Linked DNA regions of Drosophila melanogaster. The protein of the gene in region 1 interacts with the protein of each later gene in a pairwise test. Each region holds a gene or a part of one and is shown in the gene's direction. Other genes may lie near its edges. The genes, in order: jbug, CG12206 and alc.

Region 1 (3,757 bases):
TTGAACCAACCAACCATGTGGGTGGCTGTCCCGATGACGACGACTACGAGATTTGGCTGGCCGTGTGGGTTTGCAAGGCAAAAAGCGAAATAAGTATATACGAATGTATATTCGGACAGCAAACAAATCGAAAAGTGTAAAAAATGCCAGACACCTACGTGCACATCGCATTCTGTGATATAGATACACCGATTTGTAGCCTACGATACGTACACTTTTGCCCATTCAAAGTCGAAAATTTCGGCCATTACGTAATGCCCTAAACTAGGTGTGCTAGCTGGCCCTCTTCTGCCATTTAAAGTCACGACAACACTTTCGATATTTACCTGCTGACCAACTGAGTAAACTAAGAAGCGGATTGGTCATTCCCATTACCATTACCATTCCCATTCCCCTTGGCCAATAGCACCACCAATACCATTATCATGACCATTCCCATGACCTTGCCGCCAGCTGAATCTATAGAACTCGCCGAGTAGTGGGGCTCATTCCACTCCGCTGGCGAGTGCAACTAATTAGGTTCATTGCCAATGTCAAGTGTCAGTAAATGACATCAGCCACGGGATCACTCATAAGTCCGAGGAGCAATTCATTAATTTCCACTTTTTGCTGTCCCCGCTGGTTAATTTATTTCATCCAAGCCACGCAGTTTTGTCACTGAGACAAAAACACAACAATGACATCTCTGCTTAAAATAAATTAAGGTACAAATTAGTTTGCGGCAAAGCGGTGTATTTAAGTAGTTAATTGATGTTTTAAGAGGAATTCCATTGAAGAGTTACTAGATTAGCTACGTCAACTGTCTTTTGTAATATTAGTCAGCATGATTTTCTCGCACTGTATTCTCCTGTCGGGGCGTTAAAAAAGTGCTCAAGCCACAACTCATCGCTGTGCCGAGCAAGTGATGAGTGATGTCATCCCAGAGTTGTTTACCTCTCCGAAAAGTGTTTGTCAATAAATAGTATTCGTATTCGTATTCAAAATCTGCATACCAGCCTCGCTCAGAACTGGACGTGCTATGATATATGCGATCTGTGGCAATTGACTTGTTTAGAAACGCAACCGGATTTCCTATAATTAAGTTGGTTAGACGGTCATTTGACGCCTCGTTGTCTTCGCAACGCCGTGTGGAAAAATGCCAAAAAGGCCATTCAGACGGCCAACTTTCGGTTTGCACAAATTGTTTGGGTAAAAGTGCGACAAGTGAAAACGGGCGAACAATTGACAATTGATCGTGGCAGATTTCATTGCTGTGATTACGTCCATTATCTTCTGGGGTGGCTCCCACGTTTACACACATGTTGGCCTTCTAACGTTTGTGAAAGACTTGCCCAAACAGCCACATTCACGACAACCACTGGCATCCACAGTACTGCCCACCAGATCTGCTCGCTTTTTGCCTGCTGTTGCCGCGGCGAAATTCCAAACTAAGTGATTTCTGTTATTTTACAGACTCTTTTTTTTTGTATTATTTTCGCCTTTTTGTTATTTTTGTATTCAATTTTCCTTTTCGCTCGCTTCGTTTTGGCTTGGAAGCGACGAAACCAGTTTTGCTTTATAGCCAGATTCAGAGATATTCGCACACACACATTCGCTGGCGAAACCCCCCGCATTTTTTTTTATAAATTCTCCTGCTGCTCTCTGGAGCTTTGAGCTTTGGCCATGACGTCATCGTTTGTTTTGGCCAGGCCAAGAGAGCAGAGCCGCCCAGATCGACCAGCTAAGCGCAGTTCCAGTTCGCTTCGGGCCGCGAGCGCGTGCAAACGAAACTAAAACTGATACTGAAACCGAAACTGAATAGCATAGCTACAACTTACAGCGATCAGAAGTATCTCATCGCGATCTATCCATTTCTCCCGATCAGTGTTTCGAACGCGAGTTACATCTGTACATACATATGTGCGAGTCGCAGGTGAAGTGCAGTGACGTGCAGTGAAGATGGACGTCAAGGACATAAAAGGCGCCAAGGTGACGCATGCGGGGCTGCTCAAGCACAACTCCGATGGAACCACCGAAACGCAGAAGATCACCCATGCCGGTCTGGTGGCCCGGAGTCCCGAGGGCACCGCCGCCAAGGGTATGAACATACGGGGCAACGAGGACCTCTGGGTAGAGATCCAGGCGAACACATTCCGCAACTGGGTCAACGAGCATTTGCGTGAAACGGGAATGCAGGTGAGTTAAGCCATAGATATATTGTAGATATATTTACATTCCGATTATGCAACACTTTCTAACCGACTGAGTAATGCCTGCCGCCGACTGAATATCTGATCGATCAAGCGCAAAAAACAATTACCCAATCAATGGGCTAGCTCCGTTGAATGTGGAATTCGTAGAACTATTGATGAAGCAGGGCCTGAGAATCGATGAGTGAAATACAAAACGTTTAGATCTGGAATTTTAGCCAGGAAATGATTTGCGAAGGCAGTTGCACATAGAAAAAGTGGCACTGCTTAATGAAGTGTAATTAGGGATAGAAAACAAAATATGAATATGTGAAATAATGAACACTTTTTAATTGAACTCTATACAAATAAAATTTTCGATTATTATAAATCGCAATTAAGAAGCACTTTAAAAGCAAGGTTTTTGAAGTTCATATACTGATCCCATTTAAGCTAAATATAATCGCATAACGAGCGCATTGACTGGTGACAGAACACGTAAAAGTATAAATCGCCATCATAAACTGGGGCTTCGAGCTCTTCCGCGAGTTTCCCTAAAAGGCCGGGCTCATAAAACTCGGCTCAATCGCCCACGCAGATCTTGAACTCCAATGGCAGCAACGACAATTACATTAACAATGATGCCAAGAGTACTCACACGGACTTATGTGTACTGCCAACAATGCATTTCATTTGTCCAGGGACTTTTGAACTGTCACTCGCTTCGACGGATTTTCTCACACGCACCGCACTGAAACGACCTGAACCGACCATATTTGGCCGGTTGAATGCCAAGGCCAACGCATCGAGTTCCCATTAGCAGTTACAATACACAAAACAAGCTAAAGCTTTTGTGCGCGATCTTGCCCGGTTTCGAGTATAAAATTCGGGGTTTTATTTTTTTTTTTTTACTTTTTCGGTTGGGCCAAAAACGTACATACATACGTGTATGTGTACATATGTGATGAGCAAGGCTGAAGACCCCTTAGTAAACAGCGCTAATTGTGACCTGGCTGGCGTCTATTTGGGTCACCAAACCAAAACGAGTCATCCAAGTTTGCGTTTTTTACGCTGTTTACAATTCTAGTTCATGCGTATGCGACAAATAATATTGCAATCCACTTTGTATGACAAATGCATGTGCAAACAAAAGGGAAATGCTTTGATGGGAGCAGATACACGGAGAGAAATATTCAAAGTGACTGCATTGTATGACCTTAACGTTTTAATGCAGTGCAACAACAGTTGCGGCAGGTAGAATTAAATTATCTCAAAATGATTGCCACCATGGAACTGTCGTAATAGAATGACTAGACATTTTCTGACATATAGCAAAAATTTATATGCAAATAAAAGTACATATATATTTTGTTAGGTGAAAACGCAACTCCCAACGAAACTCGAGTTCATATCGTAAAATCAGAGGAATCTTAAAAATTTAAGGGCGGAATAACAGCAGCGACAAATAACAACCTGCGGCAGCTTGTTAGAGAGCCATGGAGCAACTACATATGTGCGATGTGAGATTTTTATGGCATCCAATGAATATTTTCCTAGGCACAAACAAACAGCAACAGACACGCGATTGT
Region 2 (3,757 bases), on another chromosome or scaffold:
TACAAATCCTGAATTCATAAAAACTTCTCCATTGATTAGTGAAGCTTGGCTAGTTTCTTTTCACTGACTAGAAGTAATACACAGTGAAAAAAAAATGGAATTAAATTGTTAAATGTAGATAAATAAGTTGTAAAACATATACAAATGTAACGAAAGGCGACAAAATTCTTTAAAAAATATTTTTTTTTCATTGGCAATCGATGGACAAGTGTCACTCCTTTCTCACAGTGCAGCAAAGTGTGTGAGTGTGTGTGCGCATGTGCAACGGTAATCTGAATTGGCCAACGCCTGCAGCAGCCCTTGTGACTTCAGCGGAGCGCAACAGGCGGAAACAAACTGGCCAAGTGACCGGCCATCGTGCTGGGCGGAGCGGTACCTCTACCACTGGGGGCGGTACGGGTGGCGGTGGCAAGCACAAACATACATAAGTACATACATACGTACATGCATACCATACATTAGTGGTCGTCATCGTTGGACGTCTCACTGCATCGAATTAGCGGTAAATTACAAGCTGCAGCGCCTGTTGCATGTGGCTGCTGCACTCGTACTTTCTGCATACTGCAAGTGCAGCTTTACATTCCGTTGATTGCACACACAAATTCGAGGCGTCTTTCTTTCGGTTTTTTTCTTTTTTTTTCTTTCCTTTGCATAAACACTTTGGTATTAAATATAATTAAAAGCTAAAATCCATTTGGCAATTGTTCAGCCGGAGCGACGAAGTCGCTTGATGGAAAGTTGTTGTTTATGCTTAAGTTGTACATATGTACATATTTCTAAGGCGGAAATTTCTGGGCGACAATGCGACCAATGCGTCCAAAGAGGAGGATTCGTTTGAAACTAGAATCAGCATGGGGTCAACTCGTTAGCTTTTTCAGCTTCAGAGATCCAGAAGTGCATATGTTTATTATATATATATATACATATATATATTTCTTGGTTCGAACTGAACCAATTTGATCGGCAAGCTGTTTTGATTGCCAGCGGAATCGGAATTCCTGCTCTCGTGTTGAAGTCTCAATCGCGTTATCGCCGCACCTGAGCCCCTAAAAACTGAAAACCAGTTTGAGGCCTTGCCACATTCCATTCAGCCATCCAATTGCCACTGCCCACTGTGCCCCGCGCACTCTCGATGTCCCACTGTGCAGCTGTGGCACCAAACAATTAACTTTGGCAACAAACGAGTACTGCGCCGCCAGCAACAGCAGCAGCAACAGCAGCGGCAGCAACAAGACCAGCAATAACAATAACAATAATAAAAGCGACGGACAAGTGCCGACGTCGACATGGGCAGCGACTGCGGCAGAGGCAGCGCCGTCGACAGCGGCTGCGCATGCGCACGTAAACAAATTCTCAGCGGCGCATATTTGTTGCCCGCTTTTTCCTTTGGGGTAAGTTGACTTTTGCACTCATCGTGCAACATGCAGGCTATGTCAAATAAATGCAACCTATTTCTATGCATTTAATAATAAATATAATATATTTTCAATATAATTGAAAAATAATTAAGCAAATGTGTAGCAAGTAAATATTATTAATTATTAGGGCAATACTTGAAATCTGACTTAATTGCGTACTTAATAAGCTAATAAATCTGCTGACAGTGTATTTAAACCATCGCCTTGAAGCTCTTTTATTTTTGTTTTAGGTAATTTCAGCGGCTGCTGCTTTTTTTTTGTGAGTTTCTTGAAAGCAAAAATTAAAAAAACCTCAACAACAACTGGCTTGAGAAAGAGTCGGCGAATGGGCGGCAGACAGAGAGGAAACTATGCGAAGAAGAAGAAGTGGTAAAAAAAAAAAAAAAAAAAAAACAATCCCTGGCGAAACACGCCAACCCAAAGCGACTTTGTTGCTGCGGCTTCAGTTGCCAGCGCGATTTTGAATGGATTGTACGCGCGGCGAGTTCTCAAAAGTCGTGTTTTCAAGCCGATATACATGTGCATATATATACATATATATTACATATAGTAACTGAAGAATCCCAACGAAAGATCAAAGATTGATAGTAAGCACAGCAACATGAAAATCTAAAGGAAAAAAACAGACTGCGTGCGTGTGTGCAATATATGAAAAAATATAGTCCAATAAAAAATCTCTGAATTTTTTGATTTTTTCGATTTTTTCAATTTTTGTTTTATTTTTGTGTGTGTGTTTGTTTGGTATGCTATCAAATGAAAATTGTGTGCAATAAGCGGCGAATGCAGGCCAGCAGCAGCAACAACAACAACAGCAATACCAACGGGTAAATATTTCCAAACAACAAACGAAAAAAAAAACACAAATACCAGGTTCAAGTGTAACCAGTTTCCAGATTCCAAAGAGAAAAAAAAAAATCGTAAAAAACCGCAGTCAAAAATGCCGCGGGCTGTGCGCGCCCAATATTTCAAGTTCCTCCTCAGCAATTTAAATGTAAATTCCGACTCGTTCTTAAGTTTGAAGAACATTCACTGTCGGAATCGAAAAAGTTGCTGCACTAATCGATACGGCTTGCTACATACATACATATGTAGCTACATTAATAACGAAATGATATCTGAAGTTGATTTCGTTACAATAACTATCTTTTGTTTATATTTAAATTGTTTCAATTAATTGCTTAGTTTACAAATATGTATAGAAAAGAAATGATTAGCTGCAAAAATTACAGGGTATTCAGAATTTTATATTCCTTTTGCTTACGACATTCTTTAGCCAGTTCTTTCTGCTTTTTGCGGTGTTTCGTGTTTATCATTATTATGATTATTATTATTTTTTTTTTTGTCTGGTTTCCCATCTGTATTTTTAGTATGCTGGTAAAGCCTTTAACATTTATTCAGCATCATCTTCAACTTAAATGTCAAGCTCGTGTGGCGGCGTCTAACACACTTGGAGAAATTGAAAATACCTATCTTGGTTAGCTTTGGGGTCATATTTAGACATTTTTTAGACTATTAGAATCTCAACGGCTCGTCAAAATTTCAGTCGAAAATAAATAAAACTTTATTTCATTGGCATAAATACATTTCTTGCAGAGGCAACTGCGGCAATTACTTCAATCGTATGCAGGCGGCATTCTAACTGTAAAGCACTTGGCAACGGTCAACGGCAGAGACAGAGGCAGAGGCAGAGGCAGCTGCAAGTGGAACGCACAGGAGCAACATCATTAGCCGGCACTTGATTGCATCAGCTTGGAGGCACGAGATCTAGGCACTGGATATCTGAAATCGGATATCGACAACCAGATGCTGCAGAACCATGGCGGCAATTACTAGCAATGTGTCGCGATTGGAGCCAATGCGCGGTATTTCCATAATCATTGAATCGCCAGAAGTGGCAACGGCAACACCACCACCAGCAACAACAACCGCAACTGCCGAAGCAGAAGCCGCAACAAAACAAGTAGCACCAACTGCCAAGAGCAACAGCAACACTGAAATGTCGCTCAAGTCACAGGCTGCTGGCATGTTGCTGGCATTTGGCGACACAGCAGCAACAGCCAAAGATAATTTGGAAACTAGTTACGACACTGCAGCAAAGTCGACAGCAGCACCAGAGACCAACAAAATCTATCCGCAGTTACTGTTGCGCATTGGCGGAGAAATTGCCGGTGCAACAGCATCAGCAGAAGCAGCAGCATCAGCAGCAACAGCAGCAGCAGCAACAGCAACATCACCGACCATAATCAGCTGCAATGGTGAAATTGCCGCCAGTCAAGCAGCAGCAACAGCAGCGGACACAGCGGCAACATTGCAACACAACAATACGGTGAAGATTCAAA
Region 3 (3,757 bases), about 14 Mb from region 1:
TTTTTTCACCGATGGAGGCTCTTTGTGCTTCATCCGGAGGGGAGTATGTGTGAAGAGTAGGCTGATCAAACAGGCTTTGGGAAAACGGCAACTAAGTGGCAAATGCGACGCAGTTTCAACTCGAATCTAAATATGTAAGTATACACATACGTATGTACATATGTAGGTGTTGCCGCATACATATTATCAATTAGCAGTTCAGAACAGTTCACTGGCTAAGCAGATCGCTGATAACGTGGTCGAGAATCGGCGCAAACACGCGCCGCCCTCGGGAGCCATGGGAAATAGTTAAGTTGTTTGGGACTCCGCCGGGCCTTCTGGGCTCCGATCAATGGGTTAGTCGGACGTGGCCAGATAAGCGGGCTGCGGACCTTGAAGAGCACCAAATGCAAAGTGAACCGAGACTAATAACCGGGCGAGGTCAACCCATTGTAGCCAACCATCCAACTGACCTACCTTAAATGCTTAGTTCACTCGACTTCGAAAGGGACGTGACTCCTGGGGCTTCACTCCAACTCCAGTTGCTGCGCTTGCTCTGTTTTTTTTTAGTGCACTCAAACGAAAAAAACTCGATCACCTGCAGTCGCGAGGAGAGAACTGTGAACCGTTTTGCACAATGTCTGCGATCGCACTGAAAACGAAACAAGGCACGGCGTCGGCATCGAGTGTTTTTAGTTTTAATCAATTTTAAATGCGAAGGCGTCGTGTTTTGCCGCTGTGTGAGTGGCTACCACGCAGCACACACACATGGGAAAGCCGCTCGTGCACTGGAAGAAATGGCACGGATCTGAAATGGATTTAGGTACAAGTTTCCTATTCATTCAGTTAATATATCCAGAAAACATAAATACTAAATGCTACTGCTTAACTTTGGGTACATTAAATTCAATTCCTTGTAATGAAATAACTAGGTACATACGCATTGTTTGGAATGTGCTTGTTTCTCCAAGTGTACGTCATATGTGCGGTGTAGCAATGAGTAGTATTTCCAAGAGTTTCTTGGGGTGCTGCCATAGTCTGGAAAGCGTCTGGTTTCTACATCTGTGGTACACTGGTACCAAACATTTGTTTGTTTTGATCGCCGTTTCTTTTAGTTGCTTTCATACATATGTTTTGGACTGTTTTGGCTAAATCTGTGCGGTGGATACACTTACCTTCTACCTGGTGTTCATCGCAGATCAGCCTTGTCCTCGCCGCACTTCCGCCCTCGCTCTTTGTCACTCTTCTCGGTCTTGCCTAGTCTTCCTTTCCACTTTTGCCTTTTTATTGTGCTCCGATGCATGTTGATTGTCGTGGACTTTGCACCCTCAGTTTTCCGCTGTTGTAATGCTCGTTTTACGCATTTACAGGAATATAGTCGACTAGGAAAGCACTCTTTACCCGTTTAATCTGGATTTGTCAGCCGATAATTCAGTGGAATTAATTCTGTTGAATTCATAAATAAATAGATAAATTGTATGATTCATTAACCTATTTATTAATTGGTTGATAGCTTTGGGATAGTGATTAAACTCAAGCAATTCACCGATGCAATCTATTGTCTTGAAATGATAAGAATTGAAAGAATGTTGCTATGAATTTAAAAATCTTTAATGAGTGGCTGCCACTTTAATCTAATTCCACGTAATCTTAACTTTCTGAAGGTGCTGGAAACCCATGACACTTTAATTTTCAGAACATTCAACCTAACTATAAATTCAAATCGAGTGGCAGCTCCGATAACGGTCACAGCTGCTAAGACCAGGGCGGCACACTGTGTGCTGTCGCCCGATAACTTCTTTGTTTTGAACTCACGGGAAAGCAACCCTGCGTGTGCTCTCGCCAATTGGAACTGCGAATATACTGCCTGTGTATATATGTAAATGTTTATAATTAGCAATTTTTCTACGAAACAAACGATTAAATAATGCAGTTTTCTGCCTACTAAATGCCAAATACAACACACAGACTTCGAGCCACGAACGGTGATGTGATCAGAGTACTAGAGTAATCCAACGAAAAACGCGAGTCCATTTTAAAGCGAAGTATAAAGTGCCAAACAAAGGGAGCAGTCGAACCCAGTCCAAATCCAATCATTATACTCGGTCCGTGACCTGCCGACGAGCCAGCGAGTACGGCAATAAGCATGGGCAACGCCAGCTCCTCCGTGCACATGCAACGCGAGCGCCACAAGTCGACCGACTTGTCCACGCCGAGCTCTCCCGCACATTTCCGCGATTCGATTGGTGGAGGAGGAGCGGGACAGGGCGGGAGTGCTGGCGCAGCAGCTCTGGGCGCTGCAGCGGGGGCGGTGGGAGCTGCGGGGGGTGGAGGAGGAGGCGGCGGAGGCCAAGCTTTCTCGTTCGACAAAAAACATACGGCAGTCTTGAACGAGGGCTCGTCGCAAGAAGACGACGACCCGTACTACACGGGAACTGGAACTGGATCCACTAGACGAGGCACCGCACACGACGACGCGACATCAGCTGTTACCCGAGACCACTCCAGCATGGACAACAACGAGGAGGAGGAGGAGGCAGCGGTAGGAGCGGAGCCAGCGACTGGATCTCAGTTAACCGGCGATGAGGACGACATCCGGAAGACGGCACTGCCCACAGTTCTGCGGTGGGACGGCGGCGGCAAGAACGTCACCATCTCGGGCACATTCTCCGATTGGAAGCCCATGGCCATGGTGCGCAGCCATCAGAACTTCGTGACCATCATAGATCTGCCGGAGGGCGACCATCAGTACAAGTTCTGCGTGGACGGCGAGTGGAAGCACGATCCCAAGCTGGTCAGTTGGGCGGAAAATCAATATATGCAGCAGGCTATTCAGTGTTTTTGATTCGGGCGCCCGAATGACGCAGTTACCGATTTTCGCCCCGGGTTGTGTAATCGCCGTAAACAAAACGAAGTCTCCCAGTAATCGTAGTGGATTTCAATTGGGTTCAGAGATGCTCATCCGGCTTTAGCTTTTTTTTTGTTTTTTTTTTGAGGAACCCCGTTCAAATGCTTCGCAAATAACAAATGCAATTAAAGTTACAAGTTTAAGGGAGCAAACTGCGATAAAACCCATTTGTAGATTACTACTAAATCCGGTTGGATGTCGCTAGTTTTGTGGACACAGTTTATCTAAGTGACCATTGAACATTGCTATCAGGCGAACAATTTGAACTATAGAAAAGATTTAAGGGAATAGTAACGTTTTCTTAGATAAAATATTTTTCTGGATAACAAAGTTCAGGACTGTGATAGAATATATGACCTACTTCGCAATGTTAAAATAGTTGCAGAATTGCATGAAGACGAAAAGCAATCAGAAATGAATTACTAAATGCACAGACTTTAAATCTTTATTAAGAATAGTTCACGAAGCTCACGTATTTAAACCATAATGGTTTTAATGACTAATAAATAATGTAGTTTATCTGACATTTAAATTAGTAAGCAAAACGAAAGCAAACCATTGAACAAATTTTTGTATTATATATATATGTAGCAAGCCAAATTGTTGTATATAATTCAAAATTGCTCGAAACAAGTAGCAACAGTACGTTATTAATTATAGAAAGCAGTCATTGCCCAGCCACATTTTCATGAAGTATTGCCCAATTTTTGTTTTATCGCAAACTCAGCTATCAAGTTTCATGAGTTTTATTGAACTCAACCCGAGGCCTGCAGATATTGTCCCAATTGCCCAAACTATTGTTACAGACAATTTGATTATAGCTTATCGGTTTGCTATTTTAGAAAAGCGTGGAGAACGCCGAGGGACAGA

Evidence for each region.
Region 2: the proteins of jbug (region 1) and CG12206 interact in a two-hybrid assay, tested with the Drosophila melanogaster proteins (2 studies listed by BioGRID).
Region 3: the proteins of jbug (region 1) and alc interact in a two-hybrid assay, tested with the Drosophila melanogaster proteins (2 studies listed by BioGRID).

What each region holds. Positions count from the first base shown.
Region 1 is NT_033778.4:22,735,023-22,738,779, reverse strand, and holds the start of jbug (jitterbug), read left to right. Parts: upstream 1-1,734; 5' UTR 1,735-1,938; coding exon 1,939-2,175; intron 2,176-3,757.
Region 2 is NC_004354.4:3,472,626-3,476,382, reverse strand, and holds the start of CG12206 (uncharacterized protein), read left to right. Parts: upstream 1-1,858; 5' UTR 1,859-2,242; intron 2,243-2,932; exon of another isoform or gene 2,933-3,011; 5' UTR 3,012-3,234; coding exon 3,235-3,757.
Region 3 is NT_033778.4:9,135,968-9,139,724, reverse strand, and holds the start of alc (alicorn), read left to right. Parts: upstream 1-1,791; 5' UTR 1,792-2,125; coding exon 2,126-2,773; intron 2,774-3,729; coding exon 3,730-3,757.